Mus musculus: one gene and its partners. The protein of the gene in region 1 interacts with the protein of each later gene in a pairwise test. Links are inferred from orthologs where the notes say so. Each region holds a gene or a part of one and is shown in the gene's direction. Other genes may lie near its edges.

Region 1 (3,475 bases):
AGAGGCACAGTGCCGAGAGCAGCACCAGCGAGGACAACTCACCAGAGCACCCCTACCTGCCTCTCGTCACCGATGAAGACAGTTGGTACAACAAGTGGCACAAGATGGAACAGAAGTTTCGCATTGTCTACGCACAGAAGGTGCGCGGGGCGAGGCGCGGGGAGCTGGGCGCGGTGGGGGCAGGGCCTGGGGCTGGGACTCCAGCTGGGACCCCTTTGGGCGTCCGGGCTGAGCCGGCGCCCCGCAGGGATACCTGGAGGAGCTGGTGCGGCTGCGCGAGTCGCAGCTGAAGGACTTGGAGGCGGAGAACCGGCGGCTGCAGCTGCAGCTGGAGGAGGCCGCGGCACAAAATCAGCGTGAGAAGCGGGAGCTGGAAGGCGTGATCCTGGAGCTGCAGGAGCAGCTGTGAGCCCGCCTCCCGCCCTGACCCCTGGGAACCCCAACATGACTCCATTGGCTGGGATCGCTTTTCTGATGACACCCAATTCGCATCAGCCTACCCATCCCATCCCCTTTCCCAAGATCCCGTGGAGGTTGCCAAACATTACCTGCCCCCCACATTAAGATCCCCCGCAGCTTCCAATACCCATCAGCTAGAGACACCAGCCATTCCTCACACGACTTTAGCAGCCTTCAGTTTTATCGTGTGCCACCCCCATTATTAAGGCCTCTGATAGGCATCACACACACACCCCCACCCCCAATCTGGAACATTTCCTCCCTGAACCTGACCCAGCTAGCTAACACGAATCCCACCCCTTCAAGAGTACCCACCCTTTCCATTCTCCTCCCTACATCACCCCAACTGACTTCTAAAAACTCCATCATGAGTGCACTAATCCTGGCCACCACAAACATGGCCTTAGATCCTAGTGCCATAATTCCAGACTTGGGCCATCCTCCCTGAGCAGCACAGATCCCCATTTTTACCACTCAAGTTTCCGTCCTAAGCCCTGCCCCTACCTTTGCTGAGTCTCGCTTCCCTCTCCCAGCCAGGCCTGATCCCCCTCCCCCTCCCAGGACAGGTCTGATCCCCGGTGACCATGCCCCCCTGGCCCAGGGTTCCAAGGAGCTCACCACATCCCTAGTCAACCAGTGGCCCTCCCTGAGCACACTTCATAGGCCCGAGGGTGCCAGCAACTCCAAGCTATATCGGAGGTAAGCCTCAACCAAGTGCTGTCCCCATACCCCAGTCCCAGGAAGTGGGGCCTGGAGCTGCGGGTCACTCCCTGCACTTTTCTGTTCTGCTGTAGACACAGCTTCATGAGCACGGAGCCGCTGTCTGCAGAGGCCAGCCTGAGCTCAGACTCCCAGCGCCTGGGAGAGGCCAAGAGGGACGAGGAACCCTGGGGCCCCATCGGTGAGCACACCCCACACACACTCACCCACCTTGGCACTTCAGAAAAGGGATAGGGCCCCTGTAGTCAGGCCGTGGCTGAACCCCTTATTCTCTCAACTCTTCCTGTACTTATACACCAATAAGGAGCTTGGCTTGAGGTTTCAAAACAAAAGTGCAAATTCGGGCCCCACCTCTTCTACCTGTAAACGAGGTCAATCTCTGCACTTGGCTGACTCAGATTCCCATCTGTAAAATAGGGATGTTGGTAAAGAGCCTCCAGAGTGCACGTATGGAGAGGGCGCAACGGCTTTCTAGTGTCATGACACTAGACACATGTTGCTGGCTCTGCCCACACACACACTGTGAACGGCTTGCCTGACCAATGTTTTCCCCTTTCTTTGGCTGCCAGGAAGCTCAGAACCAAATTAGTGGCTCCCTCTGAGCGAATGCCCAGGACTTCAACGCATGCATTTTGTGTTGACCCCTCCTTGGTTACTCCCTTCCTAGTTTCTTCCCCTATGCCTGGACCTCCTGCCTTTTTTTTTTTTAAATACATAGATATATATTATATTGTATTGGATAACTCGACTTTGAGACGAGGCAGGCTTTGGACATGTAACTCACCACACTGTGTTTGTGACTGTGTGTGTCTCCCCACCAGACTGTGAGCTCCGTGAGGGCAGGGACCATGTCTTGTCCATTCTCTGTATCCCCAGAGTGTGAAATAGAGCAAATGCTCACTGTGTGCTTAATAAATGGACAAAGAAAGGCTGAACCTTGGGGAGACAGAGACATAAACTGATGGTTTATGACACAGTGTCTCAAGCCCTGTGCAAGGAATGTTCAATCAAGGTTTAATTAAAAATGACAGATGCTCCAGAAGAGGCCACGTCCCCTGGGGGTGACTGGAGAACTGCCCCCCTTCTGCCCACCCACGAGGACCTCCTCCCCACATACAACACAGGCTGGTTGGCCCGGCCTTACCCGCCCTCTCTCCCTAGGGAAGGACCCCACGCCCTCCATGCTGGGCCTCTGCGGCTCCCTGGCCTCCATCCCCAGCTGCAAGTCCCTGGCAAGCTTCAAATCCAACGAATGCCTGGTGAGCGACAGCCCTGAGGGCAGCCCGGCGCTCAGCCCCAGCTGAGGAGCACCAAGGGCAACACCAGCCCCACCTGCCAGGGGCCATGGACAACTGCCACCTTATGAGTCCCCCAACCCAGGCCACCCTTCAAGAACACCACCAACCTAGCCTCGGGTCTCTAGGGAAAGATGACCCAAGCCTCTTTCCTGCTTCAGCTTCCTGCCAAGGAGGCAGGAGCTGCATGGGAAGTGGTGGGGCCACGAGGGACACCCAGATTACAGATCCTCAGTCCCCTGGGGACAGCGCTCCATTCTGGTGGCTCTGAAGGCTGCCTGGTTCCTTCTGATTTCTTCCACACCTGCCTCAGGAGCAGGTGGTCCAGCCCTGGCATTCCTGCTGCCCTGCCTCTGGTCTAACCCTGTGTACCCTCTGAAGTCACCCTTCCTTGGTACCTATGTGGGGAGAGATTAGGCAAATAAAAACCAGAGGACTGAAGTGGTTTCATCTGTTGGAGAGTGGGGTAAGGGCTCCCTAACAGGTCTGTTAACCAAGGTACACATGCCAGGAGGATGTGCCCTGGGGGACCACATGGGGCCATCATTCAGGGTGTGGGCTGAGTGGGAGGGGGCTCCGGATTCTGTACATCTGCAGGTGCTTTCTGGATCTGACCCTTCTAAGACTTGCTCTCACCCCAACACAGTGGGCCCCACATGAAAGGCCCTTACTACCTACCAGACAGGCACCTTTCACCCAGATCTGTCTGGGTACCCCCTAAGGTGGGAAGCTTTTAAGACAAGGTCTCTGGATGGCCTGGAGCTCAGTATGTAGGCCAGGCAGGCTTCAGATCTGCTCGCCATGAACTCTCGGGGCCACCATACCTGTAGATGCCAGCTTTTTGTTGCTGTTGGTTTTTTTTTTTTTTGTGAAGATAGAATTTGGCTGTGTAGTCCTGGCTGGCTTGGTATTGGAGGCACTCCTCCTGCCTCAGCCTCCCAAGTGAAGGAATAACAGGTGTGGGCCACTGTGTCTGACTGGGGACCCCCAAACGTGCACAC
Region 2 (4,091 bases), on another chromosome or scaffold:
ATGTCTCCTGAGGGACCGGAAAATTTCTCACCCTGAAGACAAAAGTCCCAGTTTTCTCGATTCAGCCCACGATCCAGCCCGCATCCTCTGCCACCACTTCCATGCCCATCTCCAGGCAGAATGCCACGGAGGCGACGTTAGAACAGAACTCATCCCTCTTGTCTGCCAACGCAACCCGCTCCGGTGCCAGAACACCAGGGGGTCGGGCGCTCGAACCCTGCCCCTCCCAGTTCCCCAGCAGCCCTGCACTGTCTCCACAGTGCAGGTTTGATTGGCTCCGCCCAGCCCTCTGTCACTCCTCAGTTGGCCTACGATTGGGTACCAGGCCGTGCGCAAGCGCAAACTCTCAGCCCCTCCAGGCCCCGGAGGGGAGTTGGCTCAGTCTATCACTGGGTCTTACACCAATTGGTTAGCAAGATGAGACGCCTTTTCATTGGTCAAGAGTGGTAGTCTAGAGTCCGGACTCACAATCTGATTGGCTACAGTGAATCCGAGCTTCCGCGCAGACACCCCCGCAGGCTGTTGCTGAGATGTTCTGGGGTCTCCCGACAGTGGGGGGCGGATCCGAGCTCCAGGTTTTCCAGGCGCCCAAGGCTGTCTACCAGCCCGGGGGGAGGAGCTCGGCTTACGTCAAACTCGACAAGGGCGGGGCTAGAGGGCGGGCCGGTGACGTCATCGGGCGCGGACCGGGTTTGCGTGTAGCCTGGGCGCCACGGACTAGCCGAGCTTCGATTTGCTTGTGTAACTCATGGCGGCGGCCCTTAAGGCTCACGTCGTTACGTATAACGGGATCAAGCCAAAGCTCTCCGAAGGCTGACAGGCTGAGTCATGTATGTCAGCCATAGGCCGGCCCGTCCTGAGGTCCCCAAGCACGGTGCGCACGGCTTCCTAAGCCCACGGTCCCTCCACCGTCACCTCCCGCAAACCCCCGAGCGTGGGCGTCTGACGTTGCCTGCCTTCGGGCGGAGGAGAGCGCGCAGACGCAGTACGGAGGCCGGTCAGGCTGGGTGTTGCCGGGTGTCGCGGAAGCCGGTCTTCTCTGGAGCGCGCGGACGGTCGCTAGGCGACGGCGCGAGGGGCGGGCTTTCTTATAGACCCCTCCCACCCGGCTGGCTCCGCCCCGGGCAGCGCTGCGGCTGGGCTCGGGCGCGCGCTCCAGCGCTGGGGAAGCGGCGGCGGCGGCGGCAGCAGCGGCGGCGGGAGCTGGGCGTGGAGGCGCGAGGGGCGGGGCGGGCGGCATTGCGGGCCCGCGGTTCGGGCGGCTCCGGCTCGAGGTCGAGCTCTGTTGCTGCTCTCGCCCTCGGGGCTGCATCGTCCTCCCGCTTGGCCCGCTCACAGGGCCGCGCACGACTCGTTCAGCTGCAGCCCCGCTGCCGGCGCCCGGGGCGCTGCCGCGGCCGTGAGCCGACGAGTCCGTAAGGGCGGCGGGGCCGCGGGGTCGGGGCGCGGCGCGCGGGCGCAGGTCTATGTCGCGGGCGGCGGCGGCGGCGGCGGCCGCGCAGGGACGATGCGCGAGTACAAAGTGGTGGTGCTGGGCTCGGGCGGGGTAGGCAAATCCGCCCTGACCGTGCAGTTCGTGACCGGCACCTTCATTGAGAAATACGACCCCACCATCGAGGACTTCTACCGCAAGGAGATCGAGGTGGACTCCTCGCCTTCGGTGCTGGAGATCCTGGACACCGCGGGCACCGAGCAGTTCGCGTCCATGCGGGACCTGTACATCAAGAACGGCCAGGGCTTCATCCTGGTCTACAGCTTGGTCAACCAGCAGAGCTTCCAAGACATCAAGCCCATGCGGGACCAGATCATCCGCGTGAAGCGGTGAGCAGAGCGGGGCACACGGGGCTCGGTGGCTGCGGCGATCCCGGTCCTTGGCTTGCCCGGGCTACACCACCTCCTCCAGGGGCTCAGATTTGTGGGCTTTGTTTCACAAGTGAAATTGGGCATCCTGTTAACCCTCAGCCCAGCCCTTTGTCTCTAGGACGTTGGTAGCGCTTCTTCGGGACCCTAGAAAGAACAAAGTTTCAAACTTGCAAGGAAAGAAGGGATGAGTAGGTGGGCGCTAGGGAAAGGGGAGCTGTCTTAGTGTAGGCACGCCTGTGAAGAGTGAGCGCGCGCTTAAATGCACCCGTAAGAGGTTTGACAGCCGAAATTTGTACATACATATCTTGTGACAGTGTCAATACTAAGTTAGGGGGGACCTTTCTCGTTGCGGAAAAGATTAAATGTTGCCAGGAGGTTGGCAGAAATGGATTAGTGCAAAACTTTAAAGACACATTGGCAAATAATTTGAAGACCACACAACATTCAGTTGGCTTGGCATATAGAAGCACACTTGTGACATTTACGCGGAGAGCGTGCAGATTCAGTTCTCTTTCTCTCTTAAAAGCTAGCCTCCTCATCCCCCCCCCGCACCCCCCCCCCGAAAAAAAAAAGAACAGGGAAGGAGGCTATTCTTGGAAAACAAACAGAAGTTTAGTCTGAGTTCTGGCTTGTGTATCAGCTAATTTAAAGTTAATGCAAAAAAAAAAAAAAAAAGAAGAAGAAGAAGAAGAAGAAGAAGAAGCAAACAAGCTTTTTCCTGATATAAAGTGTTCAAAGGATGTATTTTTGCATGTGGCTGGTGACCTGAATGCTTTTAGTGTTTGTTCTCTCTTAAGTTGATGCTATGCATTTTCCCCTTAACCTTTTAAATACTGAAAGTCTAACATGTTACTACAGAGTTCTGGCATCATTTTCTAGTTCTTCTTTACTGATAACGCTCCTCTCTGGTCCTTATTAACTAATACTACTGACAGTCTTCCAGGATTATTTTACCTGTAGCTACATTTGAAGTCACCATTGAAGGTTTAGGTAGAAACAATCACACTTATCCATCATTTGGGGTTTATACACTTCAGAGCTCAGAGCAAGTTATTTGTATTCAGGGAGTACTTAAAAATTCCTTCCAAGTGGTGTTTTTTTTTTTTTTTTTTTTTTTTTTTAGTGGTGGGTTTTTAACCCTGTACAGAGGTCAAAGGAAATGCCCTCTCCTCAGTGCCTGCTCCAGCCAGACTAGAAATTTCTGTATTCCCGCATTAAATTCCAAATCACAAAGCAGTGGCTATGATTATGATCTTTTCCCAAAGTTGGTGACACTGGTAGCCTTAACTTCTCTAGTGTTATTTTTTAGAAATGTGTTTCCTTGTGTGGTACACACGTGTGGGTGTGTTAATACGTTTGTCTCGAAGTTGTTTACAGATCATGATGTAAGTGCTGCAGTTGTCCCACCTTCACACCCAGTGCATGCCCACACGTCTGTGCTAAGATCCCCAATGGCATGGGCCACATCATGTCGGAGTTTCTGTTGGCTTCGTGTAGCTCACGTTTCTCAGTTATAATGATGGGCCAGTTTATTTACTAGAGCAGTCCGTTGGCATCTCAACCCAGGACAACAGACTGAGATTGGGATTCTATTCACCCAGGGTCACTAGTTGCAGCTCTTGATGTAAGAAGAGCAGTGATGAGCTGAGTTGAGTTGAGCAACTTCCTGTGGGGTAAATGTTGTGTCATTAGAGCCTCTCTGGACCCACTTTCTTTTTTTCTTCTTTTCTTTTCTTTTCTTTTTTTTCTTTTTTTTTTTTTTTTTTTTTTTTTTTTGAGACAGGTTCTCTATGTTGGCCTGGCTGTCCTGGAACTCACCATTCATACCAGGCTGACCTCAAATCCATAGAGATTCTCCTGCCTCTGCCATGGGGCACTGAGATTAAAAGGTCCGTGTCCAGCTTGGGCCCCTACTTCTATGTCCTGGTTTTTGTACCTCACCCTAAGTTCATCATTTGCCTTCCAGGTCCGGGTGAGCTGTAGGTTATTCCCATTGTACAGCAGTGTATAAGGCAATACTCAAACCTGCTGTGGGGGCACGCAACTCCTCTCAAGAGAAAGCATGGGTTTACATTAGTGCATTTTCTACTCTTTGGGGGACCAGTTCCTTAACTACTCAGTTGCTATAGGAAGTATTCAGTAATTCCATCTTCTGCCCATTGTGTGCCAGCTGTCTGCTTTACATATGACATACAAGAGCTTTGGGGCGGTTAGTTACAGTGCCATAG
Region 3 (3,648 bases), on another chromosome or scaffold:
TTTGTGCACATTTCGTATTCAGTAATTTAATGTTTGGGGGCCCCTCCGAGTTAGGTTGTCAGTGAAGTTATGCTTCCAAAGCATGCCTCAGGGCACTGCATATTCCCACATGAAGAAGCCTAAGAAGGCCCTTTCCCTTTTGAGAACGTGAAAATCAGCATCTTGCCTTCCCCTCAGTGTTCCTGCTGTACTTGTCTCTTACGAGTTCATTAGGATCTTGAGTTAATGCAAAACTAACTTAGGAAAGTTAAGTTGGGCTATTTGGTAGCTTGATAGGGTTAGTAATTGCGTGCACTTTGTAAACTTTGTGACGGGCATCTTCTAAATTTGGTCTTAAGTCAGAGCTTAGGAAATGTGAAAGAAAATTCAAGTTTGTAGTAACCTTATATCAAAATTTGACATGTGCTATTTGTTTTATTCTACAAGTTATATTTCTGCTTAAGTATTAAGAGATTTAAAGTGACTTAGGATGATAACTTAGAAGATAGAGCTGCACATTTTGTGTTCTTCAGTGAATAAAGCATAATAACACTCACTTTTCCAATATTAAGGGATGGCAGGATGTTATTTGACTACCTGGCAGACAAACATGGGGTAAGTTGTTTTTGTTGTTGTTGTTGTTGTTGTTTTTAAACATTAAAAAATGGTTATGTTCTGAAAAGTTCATTAGAGACTAATGCTGTGCATAAATAGTTTGGCATAAGAATATAATTCTTAGATTAACTTAACTAAATACAACTGGTATGGTTTTAAATGTAGTTTTTTTGTTTTTTTTTTTTTAAACCTCAGCCGTGATATCTCATAATCCTCTTTTGATAGTAAATCCCCACAGTGCTTGTCAGTTTGTGAATCATATAACAGTAGCTCATGTTAGCGGCAACAGAAGACCAAAACCTAGAGAAGGTGGGGGAGGGGGGTTCCCTCTCTCTTTTTTTTTTTTCCTCCCTCTTCCTGAGCCTCCAGGACTCTGAGATTTTTGAGAACAGGATATTGCTTTGTAGGGCAAACTGTCTCCAAATTTGTGGTGCTCCTGCTGCCCGCTTTCTGGCTTTAGGGTTATATGCATGTTTCTAACTCACGATTTTTTTCCATGTGGGTCTACTTAAATAAGTGAAGGCGAACTAGAATTGAGTTAAATTTTTTCTTTTTACAGTAGAGAACATTTTGGCTACCTTAGGGAATGCAGTAGCCCTTGACATTTTCATAGCTTTCATTAATTTACAAATTTATAAGTAAATGTTACTTATTTTTTTGTACACATCTTTGATTTCTCTTTTGTTAGCATAGAGAATTTCACATTGTATATAATCAAACTTAACTTTTAAGTCTTAGCACCCACTTAATAATTATGTAGATGGCTTGCTGACCAGCACATAATACTCTGTGGTTTGCTACATAATATTTAGTAGTTTGTTGTTTGAAGTCTTAAGTTTTTTTTAGATTTCTTCAGTTTGATTTTATTTACATATTAATTCTCAAAGTTGATATAATTTTGAGGCTAATTTTCATAAAAGAGAGGTTTATTGTATGTGTTCTTTGTGTAAGACCACAAAAAACCTTGGAGGTGTATGTGTGCGTGGTAGTTGACTAGATTAGTCAACTTAGTAGACTTAGAGCAGACTTCAGTTACAGTCCAAGCTTGTTTGGTAGTCAAATTGCTATCAGCACACTTCAGAACTCTTGAGATCAAAACTAAGCATTAAATTGACAGTTCCACGTGTGTGTATGTGCACATACACAGTCATACATATATACAATCAAGTGTTATGGTATTATTGGTGATAATTGTTGGGAGACTTTAAAAGAATTGACTTGTTCACTCATCTAGAAGAGTTAAATGAACAGAATTATATAACTTAACTGTAGAAGGTTTTTTTTCCCTCCAGTTTAGGCAAGAGTACTTAGATACACTCTACAGATACGCAAAATTCCAGTATGAGTGTGGAAATTACTCTGGAGCTGCAGAGTATCTTTACTTCTTTAGAGTTTTGGTAAGTACCTGTTTGTTGTTTATTTATTTGGTTTCCTTTTCCTCTTACCTTCTACTTCCAGAACTTTGATTTGAGTCTGTCTATTAAATTTTACAACAGTCATTTGCAAAGGAGAAAAGTAATTTAGGTTAAAAAAAACTAGGGGCAGTGGCTTTGCAACAAAAGCCAAATAGGATACCTTGTTAAGGGCCTCAAAATGTATTGAGAGGGCTGTGAAGTGGAACAGAGTCACATACTCATACAGCACAAACCTGGCAACCAGTTTGATCCTCAGAAACCACTTCAGGGTGCAGAGAACCAACTCTACAAAGTTGTCCTCTGAGTTCCGCACTTAGGCTACGGCAGCCTGCATCCATGCACAAAAGTGTTTTTAAATACAACTTAAAAACAAATTTAGAAAGACTTTAATTTGACCTTGAAATCCAAAAATAGGAAGCTATTAATTTATAATTATATGAATTGTAGTATTAGCAGAATTCTGTCTTATAATGGATTTTTGTGGTGCCGTAAGCAGAATGAGTGACTATAGTTTAGTGCATGTTCCTAGTTCTGAACAACTGGAATCCTGTTTTAAGATGCTATATTTTAATACTGACCTAATTTATATTTACCCACATTCCCATTAATAGAAAGTGAGGAGAAGTGAGGTGTGGAGACACTCCAGCCGTGTTACTAACTGGCAGTGCAGGCTTTTGGGTCACTGTCTGGATTTGGTACTTTTACGGAGTGGAGAGAAAGGTGTATGAAGTCTGATTGAAACTCAGGCCTTCAACTTAACAACTTTTCTTGTTCTGTCTTCTTTCTAGGTAATTACAGTAGTAGGTACTTTCTAAAGTAATCAAAAGGCTCTTACCTAGCCTTTTATCTGAGAAGTTATAATTTATTACTCACTGGATTGATGAACAAGTTCGCAAAGCCAGTGGTTTGTCTACTTTATCCTAGAAGTTAAAGTCTGGTTAAGACAGGGACTTTCTGTCTTCCAATCTTACATTTCTTTATTTTCTGTTGCTTTTTTTCCTTTAGTTTTCTATGTCACAAAGAAAACCACTTGGACCATGTTGTTTTTGGTGCCTTCAGTGAAATCCAGCTTACCTGTTTGGGGTAGTTCAAAGGGCGGATCGATGTTACTCATCTCCTACACTAAAATTGCACAGGGAACTTTTTAATACTACCCACCATCCTTCCTTCAAGGAAACAGATGTTTTCTCTTTATTCCTAAGCTAGATTTAAAACATTATTTTTCTTTTCCCCTCATTTGCAATGAGTTTTTCACTTATGGATAAGCTGTGATTTGCTTGCCAGTGTACTGAAGGTAATCATTGATGTTAAACTTGGAGTGACTTATCAGAAAATTCCATCGCTTTTACCTTGGATGTTACCAGAGATTTAGGAGAGCAAAAGTTGATTACTTTGAGAATATAAACAGCTTAAGCTAGGATTGTAAAGCCAGAAGCCTGGTATGATTACAGGTACATGAAAAGAGCCGGTTATTCATATCATTTGTTACTGCTGGGAGTGAATTTTGAGAATGAAGATTTAGTGTCATGTTAGAGTCCCAGCACAGTAAATTTATTGTTGCTGGTCAGTGAGTGAACGTGCCATTTTCCTAAGACATGGAAACTTAAGGTAACTGCTGGAAATCCAGATATTGAAACTC

What was found.
Region 2: the proteins of Rundc3a (region 1) and Rap2a interact in binary tests that used the Homo sapiens proteins (3 or more experiments, as listed by UniProt). The link is inferred for Mus musculus from reciprocal best matches to the Homo sapiens genes RUNDC3A and RAP2A.
Region 3: the proteins of Rundc3a (region 1) and Eif3e interact in binary tests that used the Homo sapiens proteins (3 or more experiments, as listed by UniProt). The two-hybrid records come from large-scale screens. The link is inferred for Mus musculus from reciprocal best matches to the Homo sapiens genes RUNDC3A and EIF3E.

The regions. Positions count from the first base shown.
Region 1 is NC_000077.6:102,399,641-102,403,115, forward strand, and holds the end of Rundc3a (RUN domain-containing protein 3A), read left to right. Parts: coding exon 1-140; intron 141-247; coding exon 248-405; intron 406-996; coding exon of another isoform or gene 997-1,020; coding exon 1,021-1,158; intron 1,159-1,253; coding exon 1,254-1,360; coding exon of another isoform or gene 1,361-1,413; exon of another isoform or gene 1,414-1,748; coding exon of another isoform or gene 1,749-1,768; exon of another isoform or gene 1,769-2,340; coding exon 2,341-2,483; 3' UTR 2,484-2,915; downstream 2,916-3,475. UniProt on the Homo sapiens protein: May act as an effector of RAP2A in neuronal cells.
Region 2 is NC_000080.6:120,477,220-120,481,310, forward strand, and holds the start of Rap2a (ras-related protein Rap-2a), read left to right. Parts: upstream 1-1,241; 5' UTR 1,242-1,507; coding exon 1,508-1,821; intron 1,822-4,091. UniProt on the Homo sapiens protein: Small GTP-binding protein which cycles between a GDP-bound inactive and a GTP-bound active form. In its active form interacts with and regulates several effectors including MAP4K4, MINK1 and TNIK.
Region 3 is NC_000081.6:43,269,222-43,272,869, reverse strand, and holds part of Eif3e (eukaryotic translation initiation factor 3 subunit E), read left to right. Parts: intron 1-551; coding exon 552-594; intron 595-1,886; coding exon 1,887-1,991; intron 1,992-3,648. UniProt on the Homo sapiens protein: Component of the eukaryotic translation initiation factor 3 (eIF-3) complex, which is required for several steps in the initiation of protein synthesis.